Linked DNA regions of Bombyx mori. The protein of the gene in region 5 purifies or fractionates together with the protein of the main gene of each other region. This does not show direct contact. Links are inferred from orthologs where the notes say so. Each region holds a gene or a part of one and is shown on either strand. Other genes may lie near its edges.

Evidence for each region.
Region 1: the proteins of 116 kDa U5 small nuclear ribonucleoprotein component (region 5) and peptidyl-prolyl cis-trans isomerase purify together in Homo sapiens (affinity purification with mass spectrometry; 3 studies listed by BioGRID and IntAct, with this or other methods). This does not show direct contact. The link is inferred for Bombyx mori from reciprocal best matches to the Homo sapiens genes EFTUD2 and PPIE.
Region 2: the proteins of 116 kDa U5 small nuclear ribonucleoprotein component (region 5) and protein ecdysoneless purify together in Homo sapiens (affinity purification with mass spectrometry; 5 studies listed by BioGRID and IntAct, with this or other methods). This does not show direct contact. The link is inferred for Bombyx mori from reciprocal best matches to the Homo sapiens genes EFTUD2 and ECD.
Region 3: the proteins of 116 kDa U5 small nuclear ribonucleoprotein component (region 5) and neurochondrin homolog purify together in Homo sapiens (affinity purification with mass spectrometry; 4 studies listed by BioGRID and IntAct, with this or other methods). This does not show direct contact. The link is inferred for Bombyx mori from reciprocal best matches to the Homo sapiens genes EFTUD2 and NCDN.
Region 4: the proteins of 116 kDa U5 small nuclear ribonucleoprotein component (region 5) and splicing factor 3B subunit 1 purify together in Homo sapiens (affinity purification with mass spectrometry; 4 studies listed by BioGRID and IntAct, with this or other methods). This does not show direct contact. The link is inferred for Bombyx mori from reciprocal best matches to the Homo sapiens genes EFTUD2 and SF3B1.
Region 6: the proteins of 116 kDa U5 small nuclear ribonucleoprotein component (region 5) and ubiquitin carboxyl-terminal hydrolase 39 purify together in Homo sapiens (affinity purification with mass spectrometry; 4 studies listed by BioGRID and IntAct, with this or other methods). This does not show direct contact. The link is inferred for Bombyx mori from reciprocal best matches to the Homo sapiens genes EFTUD2 and USP39.
Region 7: the proteins of 116 kDa U5 small nuclear ribonucleoprotein component (region 5) and prohibitin protein WPH purify together in Homo sapiens (affinity purification with mass spectrometry; 3 studies listed by BioGRID, with this or other methods). This does not show direct contact. The link is inferred for Bombyx mori from reciprocal best matches to the Homo sapiens genes EFTUD2 and PHB1.

What each region holds. Positions count from the first base shown.
Region 1 is NC_085121.1:14,019,594-14,023,842, forward strand, and holds the start of peptidyl-prolyl cis-trans isomerase, read left to right. Parts: upstream 1-1,304; 5' UTR 1,305-1,459; coding exon 1,460-1,669; intron 1,670-3,124; coding exon 3,125-3,310; intron 3,311-4,249. UniProt on the Homo sapiens protein: Involved in pre-mRNA splicing as component of the spliceosome. Combines RNA-binding and PPIase activities.
Region 2 is NC_085117.1:12,228,016-12,232,281, reverse strand, and holds protein ecdysoneless, read right to left. Parts: upstream 2,833-4,266; 5' UTR 2,734-2,832; coding exon 2,520-2,733; intron 2,180-2,519; coding exon 1,977-2,179; intron 1,587-1,976; coding exon 315-1,586; 3' UTR 308-314; downstream 1-307. Other genes in the region: U6 snRNA phosphodiesterase 1, read left to right, coding at 4,183-4,265. UniProt on the Homo sapiens protein: Regulator of p53/TP53 stability and function. Inhibits MDM2-mediated degradation of p53/TP53 possibly by cooperating in part with TXNIP. May be involved transcriptional regulation. In vitro has intrinsic transactivation activity enhanced by EP300.
Region 3 is NC_085131.1:8,296,756-8,301,139, reverse strand, and holds neurochondrin homolog, read right to left. Parts: upstream 2,847-4,384; 5' UTR 2,658-2,846; coding exon 444-2,657; 3' UTR 236-443; downstream 1-235. Other genes in the region: N-acylneuraminate-9-phosphatase, read right to left, coding at 3,079-3,189. UniProt on the Homo sapiens protein: Probably involved in signal transduction in the nervous system, via increasing cell surface localization of GRM5/mGluR5 and positively regulating its signaling. Required for the spatial learning process.
Region 4 is NC_085116.1:8,410,567-8,413,350, reverse strand, and holds part of splicing factor 3B subunit 1, read right to left. Parts: intron 1,674-2,784; coding exon 1,515-1,673; intron 1,411-1,514; coding exon 1,222-1,410; intron 1,109-1,221; coding exon 926-1,108; intron 667-925; coding exon 488-666; intron 405-487; coding exon 159-404; intron 1-158. UniProt on the Homo sapiens protein: Component of the 17S U2 SnRNP complex of the spliceosome, a large ribonucleoprotein complex that removes introns from transcribed pre-mRNAs.
Region 5 is NC_085121.1:1,483,711-1,487,819, forward strand, and holds the start of 116 kDa U5 small nuclear ribonucleoprotein component, read right to left. Parts: upstream 2,893-4,109; 5' UTR 2,760-2,892; coding exon 2,569-2,759; intron 2,340-2,568; coding exon 2,110-2,339; intron 1,621-2,109; coding exon 1,369-1,620; intron 1,099-1,368; coding exon 841-1,098; intron 412-840; coding exon 170-411; intron 1-169. Other genes in the region: nucleolar complex protein 4 homolog B, read left to right, coding at 3,334-3,456, 3,552-3,660. UniProt on the Homo sapiens protein: Required for pre-mRNA splicing as component of the spliceosome, including pre-catalytic, catalytic and post-catalytic spliceosomal complexes. Component of the U5 snRNP and the U4/U6-U5 tri-snRNP complex, a building block of the spliceosome.
Region 6 is NC_085121.1:4,081,044-4,085,324, reverse strand, and holds the start of ubiquitin carboxyl-terminal hydrolase 39, read right to left. Parts: upstream 2,840-4,281; 5' UTR 2,718-2,839; coding exon 2,657-2,717; intron 2,577-2,656; coding exon 2,428-2,576; intron 2,192-2,427; coding exon 2,077-2,191; intron 1,331-2,076; coding exon 1,155-1,330; intron 932-1,154; coding exon 706-931; intron 543-705; coding exon 419-542; intron 320-418; coding exon 160-319; intron 1-159.
Region 7 is NC_085110.1:5,298,510-5,302,945, reverse strand, and holds the start of prohibitin protein WPH, read right to left. Parts: upstream 2,882-4,436; 5' UTR 2,771-2,881; intron 2,529-2,770; 5' UTR 2,527-2,528; coding exon 2,439-2,526; intron 1,868-2,438; coding exon 1,706-1,867; intron 813-1,705; coding exon 631-812; intron 1-630.

The DNA.
Region 1 (4,249 bases), about 13 Mb from region 5:
CCTACTCTTGTGGGCGTATAAGTCACCCTACCATTAGTAATTACGCATTATATAATTTTCGCAGGTTTGATTTTTATTATAGGCTCTTACAGTTTTACTGGCTTGGACGCAGCGCTCGATCCGAATGCACCGGGCGTCATAATCCGCAGGCCACCACCCCTTCAATAGCTGGTCGTTCTTGATGGACATTCTGGATTATTATTAGTCTGGACTGGATGCGATAGGCAAGAGACCTAGAATAATGGAGTGTATTTGAAGAGACCTATACTCAGCATTAGGTGGATAAGGTTTGAAGAAGAGATGAAAATTCTAGAGGCATTTAAGAATTCGTCCATTACCTTCGTAGATTGTTTTCATAAGAAGTGTAATACTTATTAACTGTAGATTATTTTGAGTACCTTAAAGGACTAGACTATATCTGTCAAAACCGTCAGATTTGACAGTTTTTTGAAAAACTTTGCGGTCCATCTTATCGTTTCATTACATATATTTCGTTCAATTTCATTCACATGTATTACTAATACAAAATACATTTTTTTCATTACACTCCGGTGTTTGGTTCCTTTGTTATCCAACACAGTATTTAAAAAAGAAACGAGCTGCCGAAGAGATATTTAATTTTGAGTTTGAGTAGGTCAGAATCGCATAGTATAACTCTTTCCTAATGATAACCTTAACGGTTTCCACTGCTTTTCCTTTTGCTATAAAATATTACAGGGCTTTTGGTAAGGTAATGTAATGATTATTTAGTTGTAATTATACTGTATACCTAGTTGAAATTATATTAACCAGTAAGTATACCAGCCCCCTTCAGCTCCCTTCCATTTTACTTTTTTATTATTCATCCGTCTTTAAGAACGGATTTCGTTTCTACCTCACGTTTAATTTCTTATCTGCTTTTGTTTGGTATATACTGGTGGCAGATACAAAGATTGCAAGACGGCGCCAATGGCGAACTCTTCTATCTATTTTTGCTATAGAGCAATCTTAAATTCCTGTTTAAAAAGGAGAAATGCCGATATTCCCAATAAATTAATTCGTGACTAGTTAGATTAAATCAAAAAACAACTAGAAAACTATTTTGTTACATATCTCACTATCGAATAGGAAAATATTTTATCATACTTGAAACTGAGAATGAGATATTTATCGTTTGTGTAATTTGCTACTCTGAGCTTACCTTAAATTACGTAAAAATCAACTGTTTATTTGAAAATCATTGAATCCAAAGATATTAAGTGATTACTTATGTTGTTTATTTTAATTCCTTCAATGAAGTAGGAAACCTATAGGTCTATGAATTCCTTTGACAAAATGACATTTGACTTTTTGAATTGTCATTCTCTTTGAGGTTATGTTTGATATAAACAAACCGCTATCGGCGCTATCACACAAATAGTTAGCTATGTACCTAAATTTCATTTAAATTTCGAATAATTTAATATAAACACACGTGAAAATGTCGAGTAAGCCTAATTCTAAGCGGACAATATACGTTGGAGGGCTAGCTGAGGAGGTCGACGAGAAAGTTTTAAACGCTGCTTTCATCCCTTTCGGGGATTTGGTTGATGTTCAAATACCTTTGGATTATGAGACTGAGAAGCATCGGGGCTTCGCTTTCATAGAGTTCGAAAACGCTGAGGATGCTGCCGCAGCGATTGATAACATGGTCAGTACTTTTACAGTGAAATACATGGCAGATGCTGGACATGGATTCTTTCAGTTCTAGTCCATAGGTATGATACAAAATACTCATTTTGGTACAAACGAAGGGTACACATCTTTGTTTATCGTTAAAGAATGTGAAATTACATTCAGGAATTATTTTTGGACAAATAAGATATATAAGTCTATATTTATTACTTATACAATAATATCTGACATTTTAAATTCTTACATTTTTTCGGTCTTAAATGTCCATTGTGAATATAGTAAGAGGTGAAGAAGTGTTATTATTGTTGTTATAACTCGGAAGTCCCCGAGTTTTTATTACAGATGGTAGGGTATATTGTAAGCCCAAGGGGTAGGTGCCACCAACATGTTTATTTATGATTTCTGATTGGCACAGTAGCCATCACCAGTGGAATAACCACAATTGAAACTACAACCTTATGTCTCAAGGTGGGTGGCAGCATTCACATTCTGATGGCTGTTGTCTTGTAATTACATAAACCTGGTGACATGAGTTTGTACATACTTATCACAAGCAAAACCTACCATAGCTAAAGGAATCTATATTGAAGAGTGAAATGCTATTTGGTATAAGCAACATTTTCCTTAATACACAACTTCATCTTCATAATTAAAGGTGTGTTTTATTTGGTATTAGCAAGAACAGTTTGATGGTTTTAATTGCTCTTTAATTGAGTTTATTCCATTAAAAAAGCTAAAGAAGTTTATTTGTTATGGTATTTTTTCCAAATTTTAAACTTTAAATGGCCTTTAAGTTCCAAAAATGTCAATATGTCCGAATGTTTGTAGGCAGCGGCTTGGCTCTTCCCCTGGCATTGCTGACGTCCATGAGCGACGGTAACCACTCACCATCAAGTGGGCTGTATGCTTGTCTGCCTATACGGCAATAAAAAAATATGTCACTTAAAACAAATAGCCTTTCACCCCTCAATATAAGGTATTGAAGGGAGAATTAAAATTATTTGTGTGTAATTTAAACCTCATCATTGGAAAATACTTTTTACTGATATTATAATTATATTTGTAATACATATTATTACAGTAAATAAAATATTGTTTCACATATATTTATACACGTCATGTTTCAAAGGTTTTTTTTTTTAAATTCCGGATTAAAGGAGATTTTGATTATTTTAATAATTTATTTAATTGACTAACACTAAAATGTTTAATATAATATTAGCTTAATACATTATCAAACTGCCATTCATAACTAAAGTGTAGGATATTGTAATAGAAAAAAGTTATATACACAGTAAATAAGCTTTTATAAAATAGGTTTGAAATTATTAATCTACTAGAAAATGACATCCATAGAGACATAGATGACCCTAGAAATATAGACATATTGTGGAATGCATAATTAAAAAAATTTAAACATGCTTAGTAATATTTTCTCATTTTAACTTGTAATCTAACTATTTATTTCTAGAATGATTCAGAACTATTTGGTAGAACAATACGAGTGAACATAGCAGCTCCGCAACGCATTAAAGAAGGCTCCACACGACCTGTCTGGTCGGATGACTCATGGCTGCAGAAACATGCTGGGGAAACTCTTCAACTGAACAAAGATGGTGAAGAAACTGAAACGAAAGACAAAACCGAAACTACTAGTGTAAGTAATCTAAAGTACATCAAATTAAGAAATAAGATGGTTATGATTCGGACATAACATGTGAAAGGATAATAAATATTATCCAAAACATTGATAAAGATGATTGATTTTAAGGATGCATAATATAAGGACTAAAGCGTTTAAAGTAAATGTATAAAGACTCTGGGTAAGGGGTTTGATAACTTTGTCACTAGCATTAGTCATATTCTTGAGATAACATAAACTCTGTCAAACGTTTGGCTTGTAATTTGGTATTATGTCAGTTACAGAGCGAATGCTACCTTCAGACGTTAATTACAAGTCTGAATTTTATTTAAATATCGACTTTTCTAACTTCACCTCAAAGGAAGTGAAATTATGATGGTAATTTTTTGTTCTATGATACTCTCCATGTCTTCGTATTGTGTCCAGTTTTCCAGTCAAGAGTTTATTGAGTTAGCACATACATTAAATTGTTTTCAAGTGATGTTATGAATATACTAAAACAAAGTGTGTAAATTTACATTGAAATTCTTCTCTTCTTCATCTTTTTCTCCACCTTATCCCACTACACACTTTACCCAGGTGGGCTTGAGCTCGTCCACATATCTAAGAAATAAAAAAAAAACTAGGTGGGGTCGGCACAGCTAATTTTTCTCTTCCATTCTCTTCTATTAGCCATCATCTCAACACTCACTCGTCTCTCTCATATCATATCGTCGTTCACACATTCCAACCATGTCTTCTTCGGTCGACCTCTTCCTCCTCTACCTTTTTCATACTATTTCCATAGATCTCCTAGTCACATGCCTCAATTCTCTACGCATCACATGTCCATACCGCGCTAATCGTCCGCTTGTTTCAAACTTCCTCTGATATACTCATTCTTTGTCTTGTCCATTCTTGTCACTCCACACATCCATCTCAACATTCGCATCTCTGCCGCGTGCACTCCTCTTT
Region 2 (4,266 bases), on a different chromosome or scaffold from region 5:
CTCCTCGTGCTGAGGAGGCACGCAAATTATTTCCCAGTCAACGCGACAGTCGCTGCAGATAGAAGGTAGTGTTTAAGGACCCACTTATTTGACTATCTTTCATTTTTCGTTCCGGACATGACATGCTAAAGCTCCCTGTCGTGCGGCCTTCTGTTGAACTCTCATAAATCGACCATCACCTTTGAAGACTCGCCCCAGCTGGGTGCTAATGCATTAAGACAACATGGTTGTCTATAGACTCCAATATCCACTAAACACTGACAAGCCTTGAATTATTCAACCCATGAAGGCCAATAAAACAAATCACTAAGTTATTATGTTTTATTATCATCATCATCATCTGAGTCTAATAATTCTGTTTTTCTAAGGCCTATTGACTGTAGTAGATTACTGGAAGGACCAGATGCAGCTTTTTCTTCTTTAATACTTTGCAAGAAATTTTGTAAAATATTTTTCTGATTGTGTAATGAGTCTATATCATCATTTCCCAGTTTAGATTTCATTTCTTCTTCTAATTCTTCCGTAATATCTCCATTTTCGGAAATACAATCTTCATCATCTAATAAATCTGACTCTTCTTGCACATCATTTTGATTCATAGTCAATAATCCCAAAAACTTCTCAATGCAAGATTGAAATTCATCTGCCTCAAATTCAATAGTATTATTATCAGTATATTCTGATTCAATCCCCTCAAAGTTTGAAGTATTATTTAGAAAATTATTAAGGTCCTTTGTTATCGACTCTGGAGTAATTTCACTTTTTACTGTAAATTTAGATTTTTGGCCATAGCGTGAATTTAATGTATTATTTAACTCATCAGGATGAATGGTCATCCAGTCATCGTTATCATCTGAGAAATCCAAATTTGTACTATTATTTTTTATATTTTCCATTTCTTGAGTGAAATTTTCTGAACTTAGTGTTTTTGCAATATTGTAAGATGCATTAGAACTTACTGAGCATTCAGTATTTAAGAAATAATCCTTAGCTTTTTCTAAAAGCTGTTGATAATCCCTAGAACCCTCTAAATTACCTTTAAAATAACCATTGTTCCTTAAAGTAGCAATAAATTTATTATATGCATTGGTTAAAAAAACCTCATTTGATGAGTTGGTTATAATTTGATAACCATAGGAAATTTTCAAACCAAGTAAAGTGCTCTTATCATTTGTGGATTTTCTTTTACTAAAATGTTTAATAGGTTTTGACTGCATCAATATTGCATACAAGAATTTAGTAAACTTCACTGGAACATCCACTAAATGTTCATAATTAATCACAGGACAGGACTTAGATTCTTCATGATTACAATAGGCATTAATAAAGTTAGCAATGTATTGAGGTTCAAGTTTCACTAAAGTAGCTACCTCTATTGGAAGTCTAACAACTGATGTATGGAAATAATCACTTAAATGTTTAGAAAACTTCTCAATTCTTAACGATATAGCATTTTCAATTTCATGTGTTGACTTAGTGTCTTTATTGATTTCCAAGTATTTTAATGCTTCTGATATTTCTAACTTCTCATCTATACTTGCCACATGTGGAGGTATTATATGTAAATTGTTGTTGTAAATGAACACCTGGAAAAATGATGTGTATATTAAGTACAAATATTTTATTTTCAAGCATTAGTGATTTTATGAATGTATGTTGTATGATTTAAAAACTTACTTTATCTGAAATTGAATTAAAATTCAGTATGAAAATCATTTTGACAAATGTATTTTTATATTATTTATATTTTAAATTAAAGCTAATGATTTCATATCTATTCCATAAGTTCATGAATGTCAATTAATGTAGATTACTCTAAACAGGCAAAACTCAATCTATTATGTATAAACTGGATACACTGGTATAAATTGGAATGGAGATCAGAAAGAATTCTAAGTGATAGCTAATGCCTTGAGACTGCCAAAAATCTCTTATTGTATAATAGCTGTCCTACCCTCATATCACACAACACTTACTCTATTTTCTGTAGTATTTGAATTTGCCCATGAAGGCAAATAATTTGCAGCTTCTATTAATAAAAATTCACCATCACTGTCTTTAATTTGTACAACTATGTTAGTGTATAGCTTTGTTATATTTTTTACAAGGTAAACTATGAACCATTCATCTTCAATATTGTCACCAAAACATGTTACATTAATTAAATGCATAGGATAGTCTGAAAAAAAAAGATAAAATAAAATAACATTTAATTGATTAATAACATTTCTAAAATTATAAAAAACGTCTTAAATTTCAACAAAGGCTTTTTCAAGTTAATGTGTATAAAACAAGTGTCTAATCAATTATGATCAGTTTGTTTGTCTCTTTGTTTCTTTGGCTTATAGGAAATTTCTCAATTAATATAATATTTTATTTTTTCAGTCGCTCTCTGCAAAAATAATGGTTTATAGGTTTTGTTTTTTTATTCTCTACAAACAGGATAGGATTAACTTATTTTTAAAATGGTGTATAAAATTTTCTTCTGATATTTTGTATGTACTACTACTTGTACTCACTGTGTAGATTTTTATTCTCATAAACTGGTAGAAAGACTTTGAAAACATCTCTATGCCAGATGTAATCTTTTGACAAAGTTAAGATTGTTTCATTGATTTGGTCACACAATGACACCCATTGTGATCTTTCAAGCAATGATAAAGAATAAAACGTGCAATATACGGTATCTTCGTGTAATGGTTCAGAAAAAACTGCATTTTTATTGAAAGACATTTCTTCAATCAAATATAAATTTCAATGTTAATTACACTGAATATGAAACTTTTAAAGGTCTATGGTTATTCGGCCTAGCATGCTATTTTTTTTAGGGATTTTATGACCTGGTAACTATAATCTTTAGGTCATGTCTAATTTTAATTTATATATATATATATTATAATTTTTTTATTGCCCTTGTAGGCAGCGAGCATACGGCCCACCTGATGGTGAGTGGTTACCGTCGCCCATGGACTTCAGTAATGCCAGGGGCAGAGCCAAGCCGCTGCCTACCGCTTATATTCTTATTTTATGAAAAAATGATAATATGGAGTGAAATTAAATGAAATGAGATGAGGTGATATGGTATGAAAAATAATCTCAGTAAAATGGTGGTCATTTACTAAGGCTTTTTCAGTGATGGAACTTTTTGGAGGATCCCGAGAAGTTACGTTCAGCGGCTTTATGTCATTTTCCCACATTTGTGCACTTTCACAGATACTAAACAGTTAATAAATCACCATTATTACACATTTAAACCCGAAGAAACACTAAATAGACAAAATAAAACAAATCATACAACTTCACTCCTCGCGTTCCAGCCAAAAAGTCCACTAGCATACTAAAAAAAACTCTGTAAATGACCACCATTTTACTGAGATTATAGTTCATCCCATATCATCTCATCTCATTTTATTTCATCCCAGTTGATTAATGTCTCAAATTAATCTTCTTTTTTTTTATTGCTTAGATGGGTGGACGAGCTCACAGCCCACCTGGTGTTAAGTGGTTTTTGGAGCCCATAGATATCTACAACGTAAATGCGCCACCCACCTCGAGATATAAGTTCTAATATCTCACTACAGTTACAACGGCTGCCCTACCCTTCAGACCGAAACGCATTACTGCTTCACGGCAGAAATATGTAAGGCGGTGGTACCTACCCGCGCGGACTCCCAAGACGTCCTACCACCAGTAAATTCATTCATTTCATTTCACTCCATATTATCATCACTACATAGTTTATAACAAAGTCGCTTTCTTTATCCCTATATCCCCATGTATGCTTAAATCTTTAAAACTATTTATTTGTAACGGATTTTGATGCGGTTTTTTTAATTAATAGAGTGATTGAAGAAGAAGGTTTATATGTATAATAACATCCATTAAATAGTGGAGAAAACAATAATAAATTACAGTTTCCGAAGCGAAGCGAGGGCAGGTCGCTAGTTTTTCATAAAAATAAGAATATAAATCAAACATGACATGACCTAAAAGTCTTACTTACCAGGTCATAAAATCCATGCATAGATTATACATTGAGTGTCACTTCCATGTTTTTATTGCATACTTTTAGTTTTGTCCCTAGTTTATTACACTTGATATTTAGGATTATGATTTCTGTCGTCTTTCGTCGCTTGTGCTTAAATACTATTTGATCTTCACGGCTGTTTGTCAATTAAACTCATGTCTTGTCTGTCGTATATCAACGATTACGGATCTGATTCAACGAATAGTGACAGTGAAACTGAACAACATCTGTACAAAAGG
Region 3 (4,384 bases), on a different chromosome or scaffold from region 5:
TGAAGTATTATGTGGTTCGTGTAGTGTGTTAGCTTACACAGAAGTGTCTGTAATCCTGAAATAGCATGGGGTTAACGACCGTTGTCTGGGTGTTCAGTCACCTGAAGTTTGGTTGGCAAAGGTTCGCAGTTGAAAACTGATACTCTAGTGTTTACAGTCATTGTATATCTGTATATATTTTTTATATGTATTTTAAGTCGCGAACTTCATGAATGCAATGAAAACAAGCTTGGAATTGCGTTTGAAGTTTTTATTTCAAAAATACAAAACAATATTTTCAGTTAGTTATTAAATGTTGTAATATGTTTCAGACATAATGCATATTGACAAGTGAATCAAAACTGGATCATGTTGACTTATTGAAAATGAACTGTTTAGAAGTAAATACTGAATACAACATTGTTACCTTTCTACGAAAAGTAAAATTTTATTAAATAAATTGCCTAGTCACCAAATAATTTCTTGCCAAGATCCATTAGTCGATGATTCCGACACATTTTTAGGGCACCTGCTTTTTTGAGGACAGGTATAACACTTTCGTTTGAGTCAACTAATCTACAAAGAAAATCTTCAAAGGCTGACTTAACGTTTGGAGCCAGTGTACCAATCTTAACTTTCACAAGCATTTCAATTATTCCACCGGCCCAACCACTTTCAATAGCAAATTCTGATATCCAAGGAACTATAGTTAATACTCCACTCATTGTCTGCATTCCTAGGAACCATAAATCTGCAATTTCATTCCAGTGTTCCTTATAGCTCATGGACACAACTAAAGCAGTCGGATCATTTGATTCATCTACATTGTATGCATCCCAAAGAAACCTGATAGTTGATTGAATATATCTACAAATTGAAAAATCATTCTTTTTCACTTTGTTTGCTTGTTGTTTGAACAAAAGTAATCCCAGTACTGCCAAGTGTCCATGTAAGACAAGATTTTCAGGGATGTCCTTCAATTCTGGTAAATTGTTGAAAATGAATTTGAGTAGAGTGTTAAACAGCATGCTATTGTCAACAATTTTAGGTGCCAACACTGTCAGGTTCATGAAAATGTTGCACAGGCTAACCATGGCAGCTCTTGAATCCTTCATATCTTCCAATAACTTGGGATCCAGTTCTGGCTCTGGTTGAGTCCTAGCTTTGCCTCTTTCTGACTTAGGAATAGGAGGTTTCTTATAATGCACAATAGACCAGTGGAAATTCATAGCTTCATATAAGATGTCTTCCTGTTTTAGGTTAAACATGATATCTCGGGCTTTATCTTCAACAGCTAAGTGACAAAGTGCTGGTAACATCAGACGAAGTAAATCTATTTGGCCCATGAGTCCGGAGTTATCATCTAATGGTTCACCTTCAGATTTATTTTTCTCAGCGAGTTTTCTCGATCTGTATGCATGAAACGAATCATTGGCAAGGGAAAACATAAAAGGCAGTAAAGCGTAGATTTGTTCTCTCATCGCTGTTGTCTCTTGAGCTATCCAGGCAAACAGCACTCTAACCATTGCTCCAACAAATATTTTTTCAGCTTCTGGAAGTTTATCCTTGTTTTTATCATTCGACACTTTTGTCAGTAATGAAACTACAGCATTGAATGCTCCTTTTAAGCTAGTGTAAACAGATTGTTTTTCTTTTTGCTCCAAGTCCAATTGATCAGTAGCCATGTAGTTGATAGACAATTCCAGGACAATGAAACAGGCAGTTACTAACTCTCCATTAGCAAATGCTTGCTTGAAGCTTCTATCTTCCAATTGCATTCTTACTTCAATGGCACAAAGTTGTAAAAGAAGTAGGAAGAATTTCTTAGGATTTTCTTCATCATTAAAAGTCCATTCTATACCAAGCAGATCAACAATGTTGGCAGCTAACTTCAAAGCAGGATCTCTCTGATTTTTACCTATTTTACTTGTGAGAATATCATGAAGAGCTTTGTAGATACTTTGAGGCCATGTTTCATCTGATGATCCAGGCAAAACGGTAGATTTGTTGCAACTGTACAAGAGTGCACTAAGTACTGTGGCTAATTCAAATTTCCTCTCTGACTGATCTGTTGCAAAATCTAAAGCAATTTTGTTTACCAATGCATGGAATGGTTTAGGATCGCTTCCCCACGCAGCAGGGCCATAGCGACTAACCAATTTCACAAGGATATTTAGTGCTTCATCTGTCTGGAAACTTTGGTGAGAGTAGATTTCAGACATTTTCTTTATAGCACCAACATCAATAAGAGCTCTTTGGCCAGCTTCATGTTCAGCTATGCATTGTAGGCAGGTGTATGCTTCACTAATAATGATAAGGTTATCATCGTAGTCATCATTATCTGATGTTTGTACTATATCAAGGAATACTGGTATGTTTGCCAGCATTTCTGGATGGGTTGCAAGTTCAGGTTCATTACAGAAGTTGGTGAGTACAGATAATGCCACCGATTTATATACAGACGGAGGGCAATCATCTTCTACACTGTTGCTTGTCAACAACTTCTTGAGGAATTGAAATCCGATGGCTTCAAAAAGTGCTTTCTTCGCTGTAGAATTGCAGTCCTTGCTTTTTACCAGTTTCGTCACCATAAACAGGGCAGCAAATTTTTCGGTGTCGCTTCTTGCATTTTTTAAGATGAGTATGCATTTCTTGATTGGTTCTGATACATCACCCATTGTCACTAACACACGACACGCTCACAAAACGCAATAGGGCTCCACTGAGTGCGCGGAATCGCAGTCGGATCGTTCAAACAGCGACTCGATCCACATCACGTTTATAATTAGAGTGTGTTCTCTTCCAAAATAGCTAAATCTGGACGTCGAGCTCACGTTCTCTTACTATGTTATTCTAATTATAGCTCACTGGAACGTAAATGATCTACATTAATATCTACATGCTGTGCATGCAGCAGTGGTTCTGAAGTGAGCTCTAAAGGTAAGCCTTTGGTATATTAAATGAATCAAAATCGTAAAATATTACTTAGCGCGAAAAATGAGACTGACAGTATTCATTTTGTCAATCACCTATACCCATGCTTCCATGACCGTGGCAATGTCAAAGTGAAAGAATACTAAAATATCAAAATATACACACCTTATTACAAGCTTTAGTATCTCCTTTTCTTGTTTGTATTAAAGTGTTATCTAAATCGAATAGTATAGCAGAAACATCACTATTTTCGTCAAAATATCCACTATTTGCCATAATTTGTTACGCAGCAAAATGTAAAATCAACGAATAAAAGGAAAAACACTTGTCCTTGACGTCACAAACGTGACGTAATGTTGAGTACTTAGGCAAACGAAATTGTAATATTTATGATAAAAAACAACAGAAACATTTGAAATAAATTTACATATTGTAAGAGAATATTTTGTTATTTACATTATATTTGGTAAATAGGTAATTTGTTAAATTTTGTAAGCAAAAAAACTCGTGGATACGCCATCTAGTGATCACACTAAAACATATTAATAGCATTTTGCCGTCATTGTGTTTTCAATATTGTTTGCCAACAGATGGCAGTGACAGCAAGCAAATCACACAATGTGACCTTGGAGAGTGTGACGTAGAAATCAGAGGCTCACTGAATTTGGACCCCTTTTTTGATTTTCGGTTTTTTTTTTATTTTTAACTTTTATCTTTTTTTTTTTATTGCCGTATAGGCAGACGAGCATACGGCCCACCTGATGGTGAGTGATTACCGTCGCTCATGGACGACAGCAATGCCAGGGGCAGAGCCAAGCTGCTGCCTACCGCTTAATACTCTCCACAAGCCTCGTTTGAAGAAGGACATGTCATAACGCTCGGGAAACACCGTGGAGGGGAGCTCATTCCATAGCCGGATGGTACGTGGTAAAAAAAATCTCTGGATCGTGGATTTATTCGTCGTTTGTTCGTTAATGTTCGAATTAGCTAATTTGGATTAATTATAGTTTGTTCGACGACTATTGGTGATTATTCGACCATAAAAACAATTATATTTCCAATTTATTAACTAATCTGAGCGATAAAAATAAAGATATCTAGTAAAAGGGGGTTCACTTAATGGTGATCATTTGTTTAATTAACTATAAATAAATAAAAGACGAACAACAAATTTTTACATTCGAGCATTAACGAACAAACGACAAACAAATAATTAAAAATAAAAAAAATCCGAAAATCAAAAAAGGGGAGCCAAATTCATTGAGCCGAAATCAGGGCGATACTTTAAAACAAATATTTTTTTTGTATGGAAACTATCGACATCTTGTAGCGGATGCTCTTATGCTTATAATATGTTGTTAAAGTTAAGGCATTTAATTATTTTATAACTAAAGACAAAAAATTATAAACTATACAAGTCTTTATTTGTTTTAGACAAATTGATTAAATTTTATCAATTTGTGGTATTTTA
Region 4 (2,784 bases), on a different chromosome or scaffold from region 5:
ATTAAGAATTTATTTTGGATATTTTGGTAAAACGGGTTCTTTTATTTTGATTACCCTATGTAAATGATAATAATAATAACAAACATGCAGGATCTAACGTATCCTACTCATTTTAATAAGCTAACTAATCTACTAATAATTATTAATTAAATAATGACCTGTTCTGTCTCTCTTGCACTTTCAGATTGTTAAGTAAGGTTGCGAGTACGTCATGAGGACCGATGGCTTTAGCAATATAACCAAAGGTATTTACAGTCGCTCGTCTAATTGCCTTCTTATGAGCCTTTAATAGTTCAAGCAATTCAAAACATATTCTCATCCATTCTCTGGCCGACACAAATTCCGGTCCTCTGTCTGCAATACGACCCACTAAATCAATACAATTCTCTTGTACTTTTTCATGCCTGGAATTAAAAAAAAACATATTAAAGATTTAATTTAAAGATTCTATGAAGTTATCAAGTCACTATTTATAGAACAAGGTTACCTGTTTTTCAAAATGGGTGTAAGCCTAGGCAGGAGATCCTTTATTGGTGGGGTCATCTTTGTCATTCCAATAACATTGACAATTGCTTTTAATGCACCAAGTATAGAGCCTAGCACTTCAGGATATTCCTCTCCCAAGTACTCATACAGTACAACACCAAGATGCCCCATTAACTTTTCCTATGAAATAGCAAGCAATTAAAATTTTCAAAATCAATTGGTAATGATGTTATAAATTAAGTATATTTGGATACATTTCCTAATGTATCCAAATATACTTCAAGACAAATTAAATTCGGTGTATGGACCCCCGTTAACTTTGCGACAGTTGAGCTTGTTTGCCCATTTTGTAAAATATATTACGAAAAAATTATACTACATACTAATTTAGTAAGGAAGCATAGCGTACAAGAGGATATGGCAAAGAAAATGTGATTACCTCCTGACAAGTTTTCATCACGACAGCGATCCGAGAAATGAGATCGGCAGCTTGTTGCCGAACTTTAGCAGACTTGTTGTTCATACGCCAAAGAATAATACCACATATCTGTGGTAAATAGGGCTTTACGCGTTTTCCCAATTGATTCACGATTGTTCCAAAACCGTTCAGCATCACAACATCCTATCGAAAAATCACAATTTGAATCATATAAAGTTAGAGATTACTTACAAAAGATTTGTGTCACGACTTAAGTGTTTAAAAATCAGACATTTAAACTTTTTTTAATGTTTTACCTCAGTTGTCTGTTCTTGGAATGCATACAATATTCCATCGATAAGAGCTTCTTCGAGCTTAGAATCAATGTCTGCTGCTCCTAAATTAGCGAGAATCTTTTCAATGGACTCCATCACCATTTTTCTATACTGCTCATTGTCGTCTTTTAGATCATCAACAATTCTGTTGATAATTTCTGATGCACCGACCTGCGATCAATAGTTTCACAATGTAAGCAATGCCTGATTGGGAAAATGATTACTTTTGAGTGAATTAATGGAAATACAATGATTCTGGTCGAAATAGTTAGTACCTTGTTTGCAATTTCCACTGTGGTGTCGACAAGCTGGCGATAGTTTCGTCTGTCGAGGGCCATACGATGGTTCCAGAAGTGTTTAAAGAAATGAGGCAATATTTCATCCATTATGTATTGAGGCTCAACACCGTCGGTACCGCAACATTGTTTTACTACCTAAAATATTAAGTACAATGTGTATTAAATTACATTACAGTGATTATTGGTTTTGGTGAGATAATTAGTATATGACTGATGCATTATCTAAGACTTACAGTCTAAGCTAATAGGCATGTTTCATGTTAGACATTTGACTTTATTATTTTATCCGCAACAGCAACAAAGTTGCTTCCTAATGATAACTAATGATAACATTCTCTCTTTTCTCTATTCTATTCTTCACAATCCTGATGCCCCTATCTATCTCCGTGAACGCTTTGAATATCTGATTCCTGACGGCAAAGTTAGTCGACAAGCCACTTCTCTTCTTTTAAAAACTCCCATACACAGCTCTAGTCGCTATAGTGGCTCTTTCACAATACAAGCAGTGCGATTATGGAATTCTCTCCCTCAACCTATTCGTGCTAGTTCCTCTCTAGAAGTTTTTAAGAGTCAAATGAAGAAACATTTCCTGTCACTTTAATCGTATTTAAGTTATTGTTTTATGTATTTTTATTTATATGTATTTTTCATTTAATATTAGATTATTTTTTTAATGCTTAGTTAAAAATCATGCTTTAATAGCTCTTATATTGTACACTATTCCCCTCTTATACATCGTATTTCTCTCTGATAATGGTTTGCTGGAAGAAAACTCATGAATGAGTTAAGCTCGCCTTTGTACATAGTATTTAGAATTCTTTAAATCTGTTTTTATTGTATTTTCTTTTTGTGTACAATAAGTATAAATAAAAATAAAATAACTCATTAGGAAGCAACTTTTTTGTAGAAACAACATCGTAATTCGTTGTAAAACAAGAGAGTAGAGATCACTATTTTCCAATGGATATACAGATGTGTGTGCATATTATGTGTATGCAACAACTGGCCATCTCTCTCGCATATCTATAAATCATATTACATTAATAGCAATAATGTTATGAAACATTAAATTGTTTTTTATTTTATTATTTGAAATCTTTTGAATTGATTTGATATTGATTTGAATAGATATTGGTTAAAATCTTTTGTTATTTGAAAATTAACCCCACCCCATACCACTGCAAAATGTTTCTAAATCAGAAACTTTAATTAAGAAATGTTTATATGTAAACTTTCTTAAAACATT
Region 5 (4,109 bases):
AGAGCGTAATGTGCATTATTGATATGGACTCTTTAAGCCTACACCTGTGTTACAAGTCCACTGGCATTCTCTAAATACCTCTCTCCGCACCATAACGGGTCCGGTATCTGCAGGGTCAATCCATGGATTGTTGATATTTTCTAATTAATTATTATTTACAATCAATTACTTGAGCAAAAATCTTGTACAGCGGCTCCAATATGAACTCCACGAAGCTTCTCTGAGCAGAGGCATGAGGTTGTTTCTTCGTGAAGCGTCTAGTCTTCGCGTTGAAGTAGACATCGCCCCACAGCCAGCCCGCCATGTCGGATGCCCGCAGTCCGCACGCAGGGTACGAGGCAGCGTACATCGCCGCAAACGATTCCAGAGAGAAACACACGTCGTACAATGTTGACGCGAAGCAGACATTACCTGGACAACAGTATACTCATTCAACTTAGCAATCGCCTTAAAAATGGATTAAAGTATTCATTTCTCTTATTTGTGTAGATGGCTACATAATTACCATTTGAATTCACATTTGGTCCAAAGAGTACTTTATGGTAGGCAGCGGCTTGGCTCTGCCCCTGGCTAAGCTGACGTCCATGAGCGACGGTGACCACTTACCATCAGGTGGGCCGTATGCTCGTCTGCCTACAAAGGCAATAAAAAAATAAAAAAAATAAAAATGAAAAAAAAAAACAACTTTTGGCAATGTTCTGTACCTTATCTAAGACACAATGTTTATTTGAAATTGATCCATTCCAATTGACATGAAACTTAGTACAGTACAATTGTTGTTACTTATACTCCAGGTATGGTTGGTGACAAACCTGGCTATAGGAGATACTAATAACTTACCCAGAAGTGGTGAAAATACAATTGGAGGCTCATCAGGATTATCCTGAGGTTGATTGGTCTCCAGCATAGAATTCAGCTCATCAATAATATGCCTGAGCTTATAATAGGCATCTGCAGGAGGTAATTTTAGCTCAAGCATTAGCCTGTCTATTTTGTTGATGCAAAGAGTTAAATGAATTCTTTCTTGTACTGCATGACGTAACATTCGCTCCGTGTTGAGCATTATACCTTCAGCAGCGTCCACAAAGAGTACCGCTCCTATAAAAGACAAAATTAACCTGTATTTGTTTATACTGAAACCTCTTTTTAAAAAATATTTTAAAATGAATTTTCATAGGCAGCATTTGTGAAGCGTGTACATTTTTGATAATAACCTCAACAATTAAAAATGCTCAGATGTCGACTTATGGTTATAATGTCAAATAAAGAAACACACATGACTTTGATTGTTGGTTAAATTGCTTTTATGAGTATTGAGAATTGATAAGTATTTCACAAATAAGCTTTCCTCTTCAGTAAAAAAATTACCATCCGATATCCGCAAAGCAGCAGTCACCTCATCACTGAAGTTCACGTGACCTGGAGTATCCATGATATTCAATAAATGTGACTTTCCCTTTATATCCTTCAATAGCAATGTTACCGGCATGGACTTTATCGACACTCCTCGCTCTTGCTCCACAAACAGAGTATCTGTATACCTTATAGGTATTGTTGTCTCATTGTTAATTGTTCCAGGATGTGTCTGTCTCATGAGACAGTCTACAAAAGATGTTTTTCCTGAAATAAAACAGTTTTAAGAAGATCAAATAACACTCACTAATTTTCGATAGGAAATATGAAATTTCTTTTTCTGATCTGCACATTTTTTTATTTTTGTTACTAAATCCTATTTTAGATTAATATTGATCACTTAAATCTTAGTCTTTTCTTCAGTTTTCTTGCATTTAATCATCATCATCATCATCATCATCATCATTTCAGCCTATCGCCGTCCACTGCAGAAAATAGGCCTCTATATATAATAATAATAATATAATTCCAATAGTTTCATTTTATTTTATTCAATACACTTTAAAGATTTTACGGTTATCTGTGTGTACATAGTATAAAGTAGTTTTTATGAAACTCAACATTATAAGTTGAATGGTAATTATAGAAAATGTAATAATAATAATCAAATTAATTTATTATTAACAAATAAAAGCTCTACAAAAAGCTCATGGATGACTTGTCTCTTATTTATTTCATTGAAATCACATCACATACCATTGTGCAAGTGGCCCATTAACGTAATATTTCTGATTAAGTTAGTATTATCTAACATGTCAGCCATGTACTCCATGTCGTAGGTGGTCTCTGGTAGCTGCTGTTCTTGAACCTGGAACTTCTTGTGTTTCACAGGCTCTACCAGGGGTTTGTCGAGAGCCTGTGTATCTTCTTCTTGGACGACTGTCTCTACGTCGGGTCCATACACTTCTACAGCTTGAGGATAGTAACTGAAGTTTGATGGTTAATAATGTTATTATTAATCAATAACTAATTTTAACAAATACCAAAACAGAGCATAGCTTTTCTCAGTACTTTTTTCTTTGTTAAAAATATTAGGTATTCGAGGTCTGAGTGTGCTTGTTCTATGGTCTAGCATGTGCGTCGCTAGTACCGGTAAAGTGGGTTAACATCTTGTAAGGCCGCTTTATTTGTTAGTTTTAAATGAAAAAGTTTTACCGTTTGTCCTCATGAAGAACGACGGACATAGGCGCAACTTCGGGCTCCGCGTCTGCGTCCTCGTCCTCCTCCATTGCTTCCTCATCACCTTCACGATTATCCTGACCATATACACTCTGTTCGTCTTCAGAATCAGACTCCAAGTCTGGCCCGATGTAGTTTCCAAATTCGTCATATAAATCTCCGTCCATTTTTAATATTGATAACTATATTTTGAAAATATTTCCGAAAAATAATTATCCAAAACAACTGCCGATGCTCTAAAGATTGTTTTGAACAAGTTTTGACTTTGACAGCAAGATAACCTTAAAATCTGGTTTCATTTCTAAACGAAAATAAACGAATTGGACTGTATGAAAAAAACATAGGTAAAGAGCAGCACTAATAATTTAGCAATGTTTTAATACTATCAAAAAATATCATTTAAATGTCTTATGGTTAGTTTTTAAACTAATATTTCGTAATAATATTTGTGTATTTTCACAGAGATTATTTTAATGCAAGCTTACATTGTTGCTCTAGTGGTTTGTTTTTTTAGATAATATAGTTAAAACGATTAAAAAGATTTGATGTGAACCTACTTTAATATAAAGCTATTAATTCTGATTTTGATTTCAATTAATATATTTTTAGAAAATAAAATAAGAGTTTCCTAGGCACAGGCATGTTCATTAGTCGTTTACCTAATTACTAAACGAAACCATATTTTCTAAGGTTGCCCGCCTGATCAGTTGTCACTTTTTGTCAATCCTTTTCAATACAAAAATGGCTGCTGTGCAACAAAATTTTTCGAAAATGATTTCGGGACAGCTTCGTAATAAAGCAAATGAGTTTCTTAACTCCAGAAAACATGCGAACAATCTTGCTGATATATTGCAGATGTTTGAGGTGAGCATGAAATCCCTTGTTCATTTAGTACAACGAAAAATGTAATGCGTCATAGGTTACATTTGTAATTCGTGATTTTAACATTTATATTACAGGTCGAAACAGACAATTATACGCCGCTAATGCTTACAATAGAAGTAATATTCACCGAACTATTAAAACGGGGCGATTTAGTCCAGGAAATAGTTCCATTAAAGCCTGCAGGTATGATTTTGTTTTGCCGCACGAAAATGTGTTTTTGAATTGAATATATCGATTTTAGCATGGTGCGAACCTGACTGTACGTAGATATACGTTGTGTTTACGTAGTATGTAAGCTGTGTTACGTTGCGAAAAATGTTGCTGTCTAAATTTGTCAATTTAGCTGCATACTAATTGACATTTGCTTTTAAAAAACATTTGAATAAATATATGAAATACTGCAATTATTGCAGTTGAACCGTAATTACGAAGCTAACACGTTGGGATTTTAAGTACTAACGATTCAGTTTTTAATTGAAAAAAAAAGTAGTCATATAAATATATTTTTTACTAAATAAAGTTTGCAATTTGCTATTGTGTGGGCTGTCACTAGTTTCAAGGTCGTTTCTGTAGATATGTTTGTCTATTTAATTATCTTCAGGTTTAGTTATCTTATTTTATAACTTATTTTG
Region 6 (4,281 bases), about 2.6 Mb from region 5:
ATATTCAAGCAGAAGTTTCAAATAGTTTTTATGTTAAGTTTTTTGTTTTAAATCCTATTTAAGTGGATGTGAATTGATATAAAAAAACCAGTCTTAATAAAAAAATAAAAAAGTTAGTGAATACAATTTTTAAATTGCAACAATACTAGGTATTTTCACCTGTGGAATAATATTTTCGCGGAACTCATCAGTGAACAATGGCGTTGGAGGCAAATCACATGTGAGGTACAAAAATGGAGACTCAGTGATCATTTCATTGTACTCTTCACTGCTAAGATCGACTTTAGCTGCATCATCAGCATCCGGCGGTGGCAACTTTCTGAAAATTTCAGTCTGTTCAGAAATTTTTGACTGCATATAATGATAGATTAAATGTTAATTATTTTGAACTTTAAAAAATCAGATGCTTAAATCTTACCTTGTATAGATCCTCATGTGACCCAGAAATGACTTATAAATTATGGAGCTATTTGGCTTCTTTGTACCATTCAGTGCCATGTGTAATGAATTTAGAAACCAAGACAGAAAGTCTATTGGATCACCTGAGCAAAAATTTATTTATTTATAAATTTTTATTATTATTATAAAACAATATATAATTAAAATATAAAACTGATCAATCAATATTCATACTTTTTAGCATAATATACAGAAATTACACTAAGAAAGCATGTTCGTATATCCAAAAAACTACTAAAATCTTACTCTGCTTAATAAACTGATATCGCTTCTTAGACCACAGCACAACAGCCTGCAACATCTCGTGAGGAGATACATGTGCTTTAAAAGCACGGGGGTTCCATAGTTTGCGTAATAATTCACCAAATCTTTGTACAAGTAAAAAAGACGAGTCCCCTGGTGGTCTTTTTACACTAGCATAGTTCTCTTCTCTCAAAAAGTAGTTACGTAGGGGACGTACTTGTGACAAACACTAAAATCATAAAATGAATTTAGTATAAAACTGTGACAATATTAAGACTTTGTAGCACTGTGTAATTATTCACTACAAATATACATAATGGTTAAAACAGAATCAGTTTGACTGTAACGCATCTACTTTCACAGATCGCCGGCAACAAAAATATAAGTCGCATTTATCATACAATAAAAACAGTACATATCATAAAATGTATTTAATAAAAACATATACTGACCTGCAAAATTACATTACAGTAATCATTGGCCTTGATATTATTAAGGCCTACAATGCCAGGCATATACATTGTGCCATCAATGGCTCGTGACATCTTTGTGTTAGTATCTATAAGCTTGATCTGTTCAGGTGTGAATGTTGGGTTCAAAACATATTTGATGTCATTCAATGAAGAGTCTAAAATGTGAAATTGTCTTTTTTTATGACTGTGATAGGTAGATTAGCTCCCGGCTCATCTGATGCTATGTGATTACCCGCATCCCTATAACAGGAGTTCTAAGTCTCAGTTTTACAGTACAACAGTAGCTGTCCCCTTCACCAATGCACATTATTGCTTCACGGCAGAAATAGGCAGAGTGGTGGTACTTACAAATGCAAGCTCTTAAGTCACCCTTAGAACAAATTATAATTTATGCAAGTTTATTATAATCACAAGATGGATTTGATACATTCCTTCACCAACGAAGTGTTAAATACATATTAAAAAAATTGGTACCTGCCAACAGAATTCAAACACCACCACAGTTGCACTGCCCAATACAAATGCACTGGGTGTCTTGTCCATTAGACTATTACAAGTTTTAAAGCTTTACTGTACTTCTAGTCATTGATACCTAAATTTAAGCTTAAAAGTATTTTACTTGATTCCATTTTGGTGTATAAAATTTTAAAAATCAGTCAAATTTTCCTTATTATTAATTTACTTACAAAAATAAAGTCTAACAATTTATTTTAAGTTATCGCATGTGTTAACAACTGTAAAATGCACCAATTCTTAATCATAATATTTTATAAATATTTTCAATGCACAAAATCATCAATTGACCGAATTCATTTATATCTTATTATTATTTTATTTATAATTAATTTATATCTAACATAAAAGCTATTTTAGCTAACCAAGTTAAAAATATGTAATTTACCAATAACTTCATAATTGTCAGGAAGACAATAGAACTTTAATGTGTTAAGATTCAAAAATACATGGTGTCCATCAGCCACTGAATGTGTGTAGGCATGAGTGTTGGTGCCTCTTCCCTGGAAAGTAGATAGATTTTAATGATTTTTTCGCAAGTGATTAATTCAAATTTATGCCTAAGTCAACATAAATAACCTATCTTACATATCACTACAGCAAAGAACTGGAATGAAATGCCAGGAACAACACTGGCGCTCATAAAAATCGTCATCATGAAAACAAGTAACTTGCCTGTAAAAAAAAGTTCAAGCCTCTAATCACCAAAGCCATGACAATTGCATAAATATTTTGTTACCTGAAAATATTTACCGCACACTAAGCAAGCGTAAACATTGATTCTAGTCAATGAAACCGAGCACAATTTCTCAAAGTCAAAATCTAAAACATGCCGATTGATAGTATCCAGGTAAGGACATTGAATTTGTTGAGTTTTCGAATATCGTCCTGAAAATATAATAATACTTTGATTACAAATAGCAGTAGAGTGCAGAATCATAGAAGGTTAGAATTGCATTATCAAGTACCTTGTTTGTCAGTCCCATTTTCATCAGTTATTTTGCGTTTTCTAGATTGTTCTTCAGTCATTTTATTACTATCATAGACTTTAGACAATGTAGTTAAATGAAGAATCTGAAATCTAAATGTAAAATGTAAATATTAATCGTTAAATGAACTTTTTATGGGATTTTATGATACGGTAACTAAGACCTTTAGGTCAGGTCTTAATTAAATTTATATTCTTATTTTTATGAAAAATGGTAATACGAAGTGGTATGAAATGAAATGAGATAATATAGTATGAAATATGAAGTCGTCGTGGCCTAAAGGATAAGACGTCCGGTGCATTCGTGTTGAGCAATGCACCGATGTTCGAATCTCAGGTGGGTACCAATTTTTCTATTGAAATACATAACAAATGTTAACGATTGACTTCCACGGTGAAGGCATAACATCGTGTAATAAAAATCAAACCCGCAAAATTATAATTTGCGTAATTACTGGTGGAAGGACCTCTTGTGAATCCGCGTGGGTAGGTACCACCACCCTGCCTATTTGTGCCGTGAAGCAGTAATGCGTTTCGGTTTGAAGGGTGGGACAGCCATTGTAACTATACTTGAGACCTTATCCATCCTCCAAAAAGTTCACTAAAAAGTATCAGTAAATGACCACTATCATAGTGAGATTATATTTTATACCATATCATCTCATCTCATTTCACTTCATATTATCATTTTTCATAAAAATAAGAATATAAATTTTATTAAGAGTTGACCTAAAGATCTTAGTTACCGTGTCATAAAATCCATTAAAAAATATTTTAGTAGGAGTATGTGTTCTATTTTCGAACTGGAAAGGCAAAAGTATGATACCATACAGCCTAATCTTTCATATTTTTTTGCTTATGATAAATGATTATATGAAATGAAATGAAGTTGATTAATTTGGAACAATAATCAATTGGCATGAAATGAAACGTAATGAGATGAGATGAAATATAGTCTCAGTAAAATGGGAATTATTTTCTGAGACTTTTTCAATGGACTTTTAAAAAGATCCCGAGAAGCTACATTTAACGGCTTTGTTGCATATTCATACATTTGTGCACTTTCAAAGGTATTATACAGTCAATTAACCACCATTATTACGCATTTTAATCTGAAAAGACACTACATAAATTAAATAAAACAATTGACACTGCTACGCTCATAGATTAATATTTGAAAGCTTCGCTCCTCGAATTTCCGCCAAAAAGTTATTATTTTGCCAATATTGTAATTATAGAGTAACTTGGCAATTTTTGGTAATATTTAGGCCTTGTCCGCACAGCGATATTTCACCGCGCGATTTTTTTCTCGTAATTCTGTAACACATTTAATATTATAGAAGTATCCGCACTGGCGGGAACGAAATCGCGCGGGAAAAAAATCTGTGACTTGATGCAAATTGAACGCGAAGCGGTGCGATTTATTTCCGCGCGAATATTTTGTATCGTGTAGAGTAAGTATGGCTATGTTCGCACTGTGGAATAAAATTCGCGCATTTCGCTCATAGTCCTACAACCTCGCTATTGAAAAGATGTAGTAAAGTAGTTGTAGTAAATTATCGAATGATATTTTTGTCATTCTGTAATAGCCAAAAAACTTTTTGC
Region 7 (4,436 bases), on a different chromosome or scaffold from region 5:
ATGTTTTGATTAAAAATTGGTCAACAATTTTGGGACAGTTTAAAGTCAAAGGAAATGGTGTTTTGATTGGTATGCTGAACTATGCCAACCTATGTGCTTAATGCTCTGTAAGATCAGTGACTGTTGCATTAGACACTTGGTAACATGGCCTGACTCATAATATGGTTAAATATGGGTAGGTGCTAAATTTTGTTATTGCCTTTCTAAGAGGAGCATGCGGCCCATCTGATGGTGAGTAGTCTCCCTCATGAGGTATAATATTAATAAGATGAAGTATGGAGTTAGTTCTAGTCTATATCACTACTTAGCACAATAAGTTCAAAGCTGTCAAGTTATCAAGTTATCAAGTTCAATGTCAAATTTCATAGCCATTATAGGTGCACTAGGCAAATTAAATTACCATTTAAATATTTTGCTGAAAAATCAGATATTCATATAAACTTAATACAAGTTTTATTGTAACACTGAGTTTAAGTTCAGAACAATCACATATTAAAATGAAAGTATGAATGTTTACAAACTGCATTAAAACAGGTTCCTTCAATTGAAAATTGGTAATCCTACAGATGATTCCTCATATAGCATAATAAGAAGTGGAGTATGTTTGTTTAAAAATAGCAAGACTTTCACCTCTCTTTGTGTAATAAGTTCTCCAGCATCGAACTGAGCAACAACTGCTTTCAGAACTTCTGAGGTAATAGATGGAAGTACTCTTTCATCATAATCAATACCAAGAATAGTGTAAATTCTTGGTAATTGATCAGGAACTGGTCTGAAGAGGATACGAAGTGTGATGTTAACATTTTGAAGATCTGAAATAAAATAAATGTTTTATTAAATTAACTACTGGTATTTTCATTATACAATGTAAACTCAAAAAAACAAATGGAAGTGGATTTATTAATTGAAGTTTTATTGAATAGAATATTTTTATTTGCTAAAATAAGAAGGTTATTTTTATCTAAAAGTATTTAAAATAGTTTGTAATTTATGTTGAGTTTATTACTCATTTTTGCTTCCTAAATTAGTTACCAATGATAATATCTTGTGAATTATTGTGCTGCACAATGTTTTAGCATGCATTAAAGTACAATACAATCTGCCTAACACCAGGGCATTTAAATTCTAATGAGTGTATTTGTAATATAAATGGATTTTTCATCTTTAATCTCAATTCATGTTTAATTTTTTACAATACAAGAGTATAGTCACATCATCCATATTGTTGCTTTATTATTCTTACAAATGTTGACATTCTGATGTTCTATCATTAAACATCACAGAAGTATATATTTTTTGGCTGATGTATCAATTCACTTGCCTTTGCTTTGCCATTTCATGAAAGTAAGTATGCAAACACTTCCATAATCAAAGAAAGCCATCAATCATTCATAAGTACATGTTACACATACAACTACTCATTTCACTTGCATTGGTACTGTTGTTCTACTTGTTTTTGGTGCAAAGAAGTCTTGCAATCTAATTTGAAGAATTATATAGCTTTTTTCACACTATAAATGGGACTTTAACCTTATCTCTGAAAGTGAATGGAGGCATACTTGCTAGGTTATGAGCTCTACCACTTAATACTAATAAAAATAACATAGCTTTGAAACCCTAGAACAGAAGTATTAAAGCCAATATGATGCATTATGCTAAAGTGAATACAGATTATAAAATTTTTGCATTTTAAGCATTATCTTACCTTTACTTCCAGTAATAGTAGGAACATTTCTGGGTCGAGACCTGATGTCAAATATAATTGGCCTCTGGACCCAAGGAATGAAGAAATGTGTGCCTTCACCAACAACTAGCTGCTTAACACCAGCAAATCGATCGAAGATAACAGCTCTGTGACCACCGTCGACTGGAAACAATTATCATATATTTATAAGGATCAGCATTTTTACATGTCGCATTTTCAGTGGTTTATCACAATGACAAATAATGTATTATTTATTTATATTACATAATCCTCTGTTTTGAAGAAATTTCTTAAAGATAAGTGTATTTTTTTATATAGATTTTGTTATCATCAATTAAGGATTTAATTAATTTTACTGGTGGTAGGTGAGTCCGCGCGGGTAGGTACCACCGCCATGACTATTTCTGTCGTGAAGCAGTAATGCGTTTCGGTTTGAAGGGCAGGGCAGCCGTTGTAACTATACTGAGACCTTAGAACGCATATCTCAAGGTTGGTGGCGCATTTACGTTGTAGATGTCTATGGGCTTCAGTAACCACTTAACACCAGGTGGGCTGTGAGCTCGTCCACCCATCTAAGCAATGACAAAAAAAATATAATATCAAAGTTTCTATCAAAGATACACAAGAGCTATTTTGGGGATCCAAGCAAATGCAACTTTTATGTTTAGCATACAATACAGCTAGCAAGCTTATGCAAGGTTATAACTGATATAGTTTAAGTAAAATTATTTACCATTATACAATGCAGAATTGACAACACCTCCAACCAATGCCACGCCTAGACCGACTTGCCCAATGCGATTGAAAAGCTGTGCAGCCATATCTGAAATGAATAATTTTTCCATTTTAATTTTTTAAAATCTGAACCATGAAAGTCACTAGGTTACTTGATTAGAAATAAGTGATCGTTTTTTTTAATAAGTCGCTTAGCACAGAATGCATGATTATGGACAAAACAAACATTAAAAAGTAAAAAATTTAATTATTACCTAATTTCACAAAATGTTACTTAACCTAAAATTTTTGGAAATATAATCTTTAATAATTGTTAATTTGAAAGTTTACCTTCAAAATTTTAATGTTTTAACTCTTATTTTATTGTAGACGTAACAACTAACATAAAAGATTGAAAAATTATAGTTTCAAACGGGAAGACAAAAATTGTGCCGCAACGAGAGAAACATAGATTATAACAATAATAGTGATGTTACATATGATATTCTGAAGTGTCGAATCAGGTAGACTAGAGTCCTTGTAATTGTTCATGAACTCGACTTAAAATATTCGAACACAGAGAAATTGAGTAAATTTCGTCGAGAAATATTTATATACAAGGTATTTATGGTTGTGGGATTCATGTTATAAGTATACAAGAATAGGTGCCACAACGCTGCCTATTTTGGCCGCGAAGCAGTCCAGCGTTCTGGTTTGAATGGTGAAATAGAATGATTAAGGGTGAGACCGATATATTAGTATTCATTAAGATATTCTTAATACAGCTTGTATTCGTGTGTCGGTAATCCGTCGCATTCTGATCTGCTAATATTCCGTATTCACTTTATTCATAACACTTAGCTAACTCACATCGGTCGGGTTGTATCTATCACTCGAAAATATACTGGCATACGCCGTACGATGCTAGTGGGAATTTTTAAATACATTACGTTTTAATGTTTGATCCTTCATTTCTTGATTCAACTAAAGATTCTACTCAAGGCAAAATAGTGCATTTTTACATTTATTAGAATAAAATCGGGGAGCTTTATTTTCATTATTTTAATTTTATTTTCTGTTCCCTTCGAATTAGTTGGTTTTAAAACGATGATTTGGAAAACGGAAGTAGGTAGTTGATATTGTTTACCAATTTCATAAATTAAATTATTTTTACACAAAACGTAATACGGCCAGAACTAAATTAAGTGTTTTACGTAATAAATTATGATGAAAATATATTTTTGCGGTGGTATTTAATTATCTTCTAAGAAATTCTCAAAATATAAATAAAAGTTTGATTTTTGAATCGAAATGACTTTCTAAACAAACGGTTCGTGGATTATAATATTATAACTGTTGTGTAGGTACCCACTAGCCACCTCAGTACCGTGTAAGAGGATTTTTTCAAAATCTGGTGAACTCATTACTGACCGACGTACCAGTCTTTCGGTAGAAAAAGTAAAAAAGCTGATGTTTTTATGCACCAATAAGAAATAAATAATATTACTAACTTGTTGTTTATATTAATATACAATGTTGACCAAATTCTGATTTAATAATAATATTCATTTTAATGTATATAATATTATTTGTAAAATATTTAGTATGAAGTCAAATTCCTAGATACAATATACTATTTATATTATTAATAACTAATTTATGTGTATTATCTATGATTATTAACTTATTTCACGAATACCGTATTAGGTTTAACTCGTTTACCCGTTTTATCGAAGTATATTAAGATATCAGGATATTCACGTATTAGTTAAGGTATTATAATATTACATAATGAATATATTAGTATTAGCTAATATTGACAAATATCGGTATTAACCATAGACCTATATAGGTTTCCTACTTCAGTGGTATTAACCCATCTTTGAGAATGATAGTAATGCCGGCCACTCACATGCGGGCAAATATTCGTACATTGTACGAATGTTTGCGCGCATGTGAAGGGCCGTCAAACATTCATTCGTAAACTTAGCAGCTGTGCAAATGGGTTCGCATACTC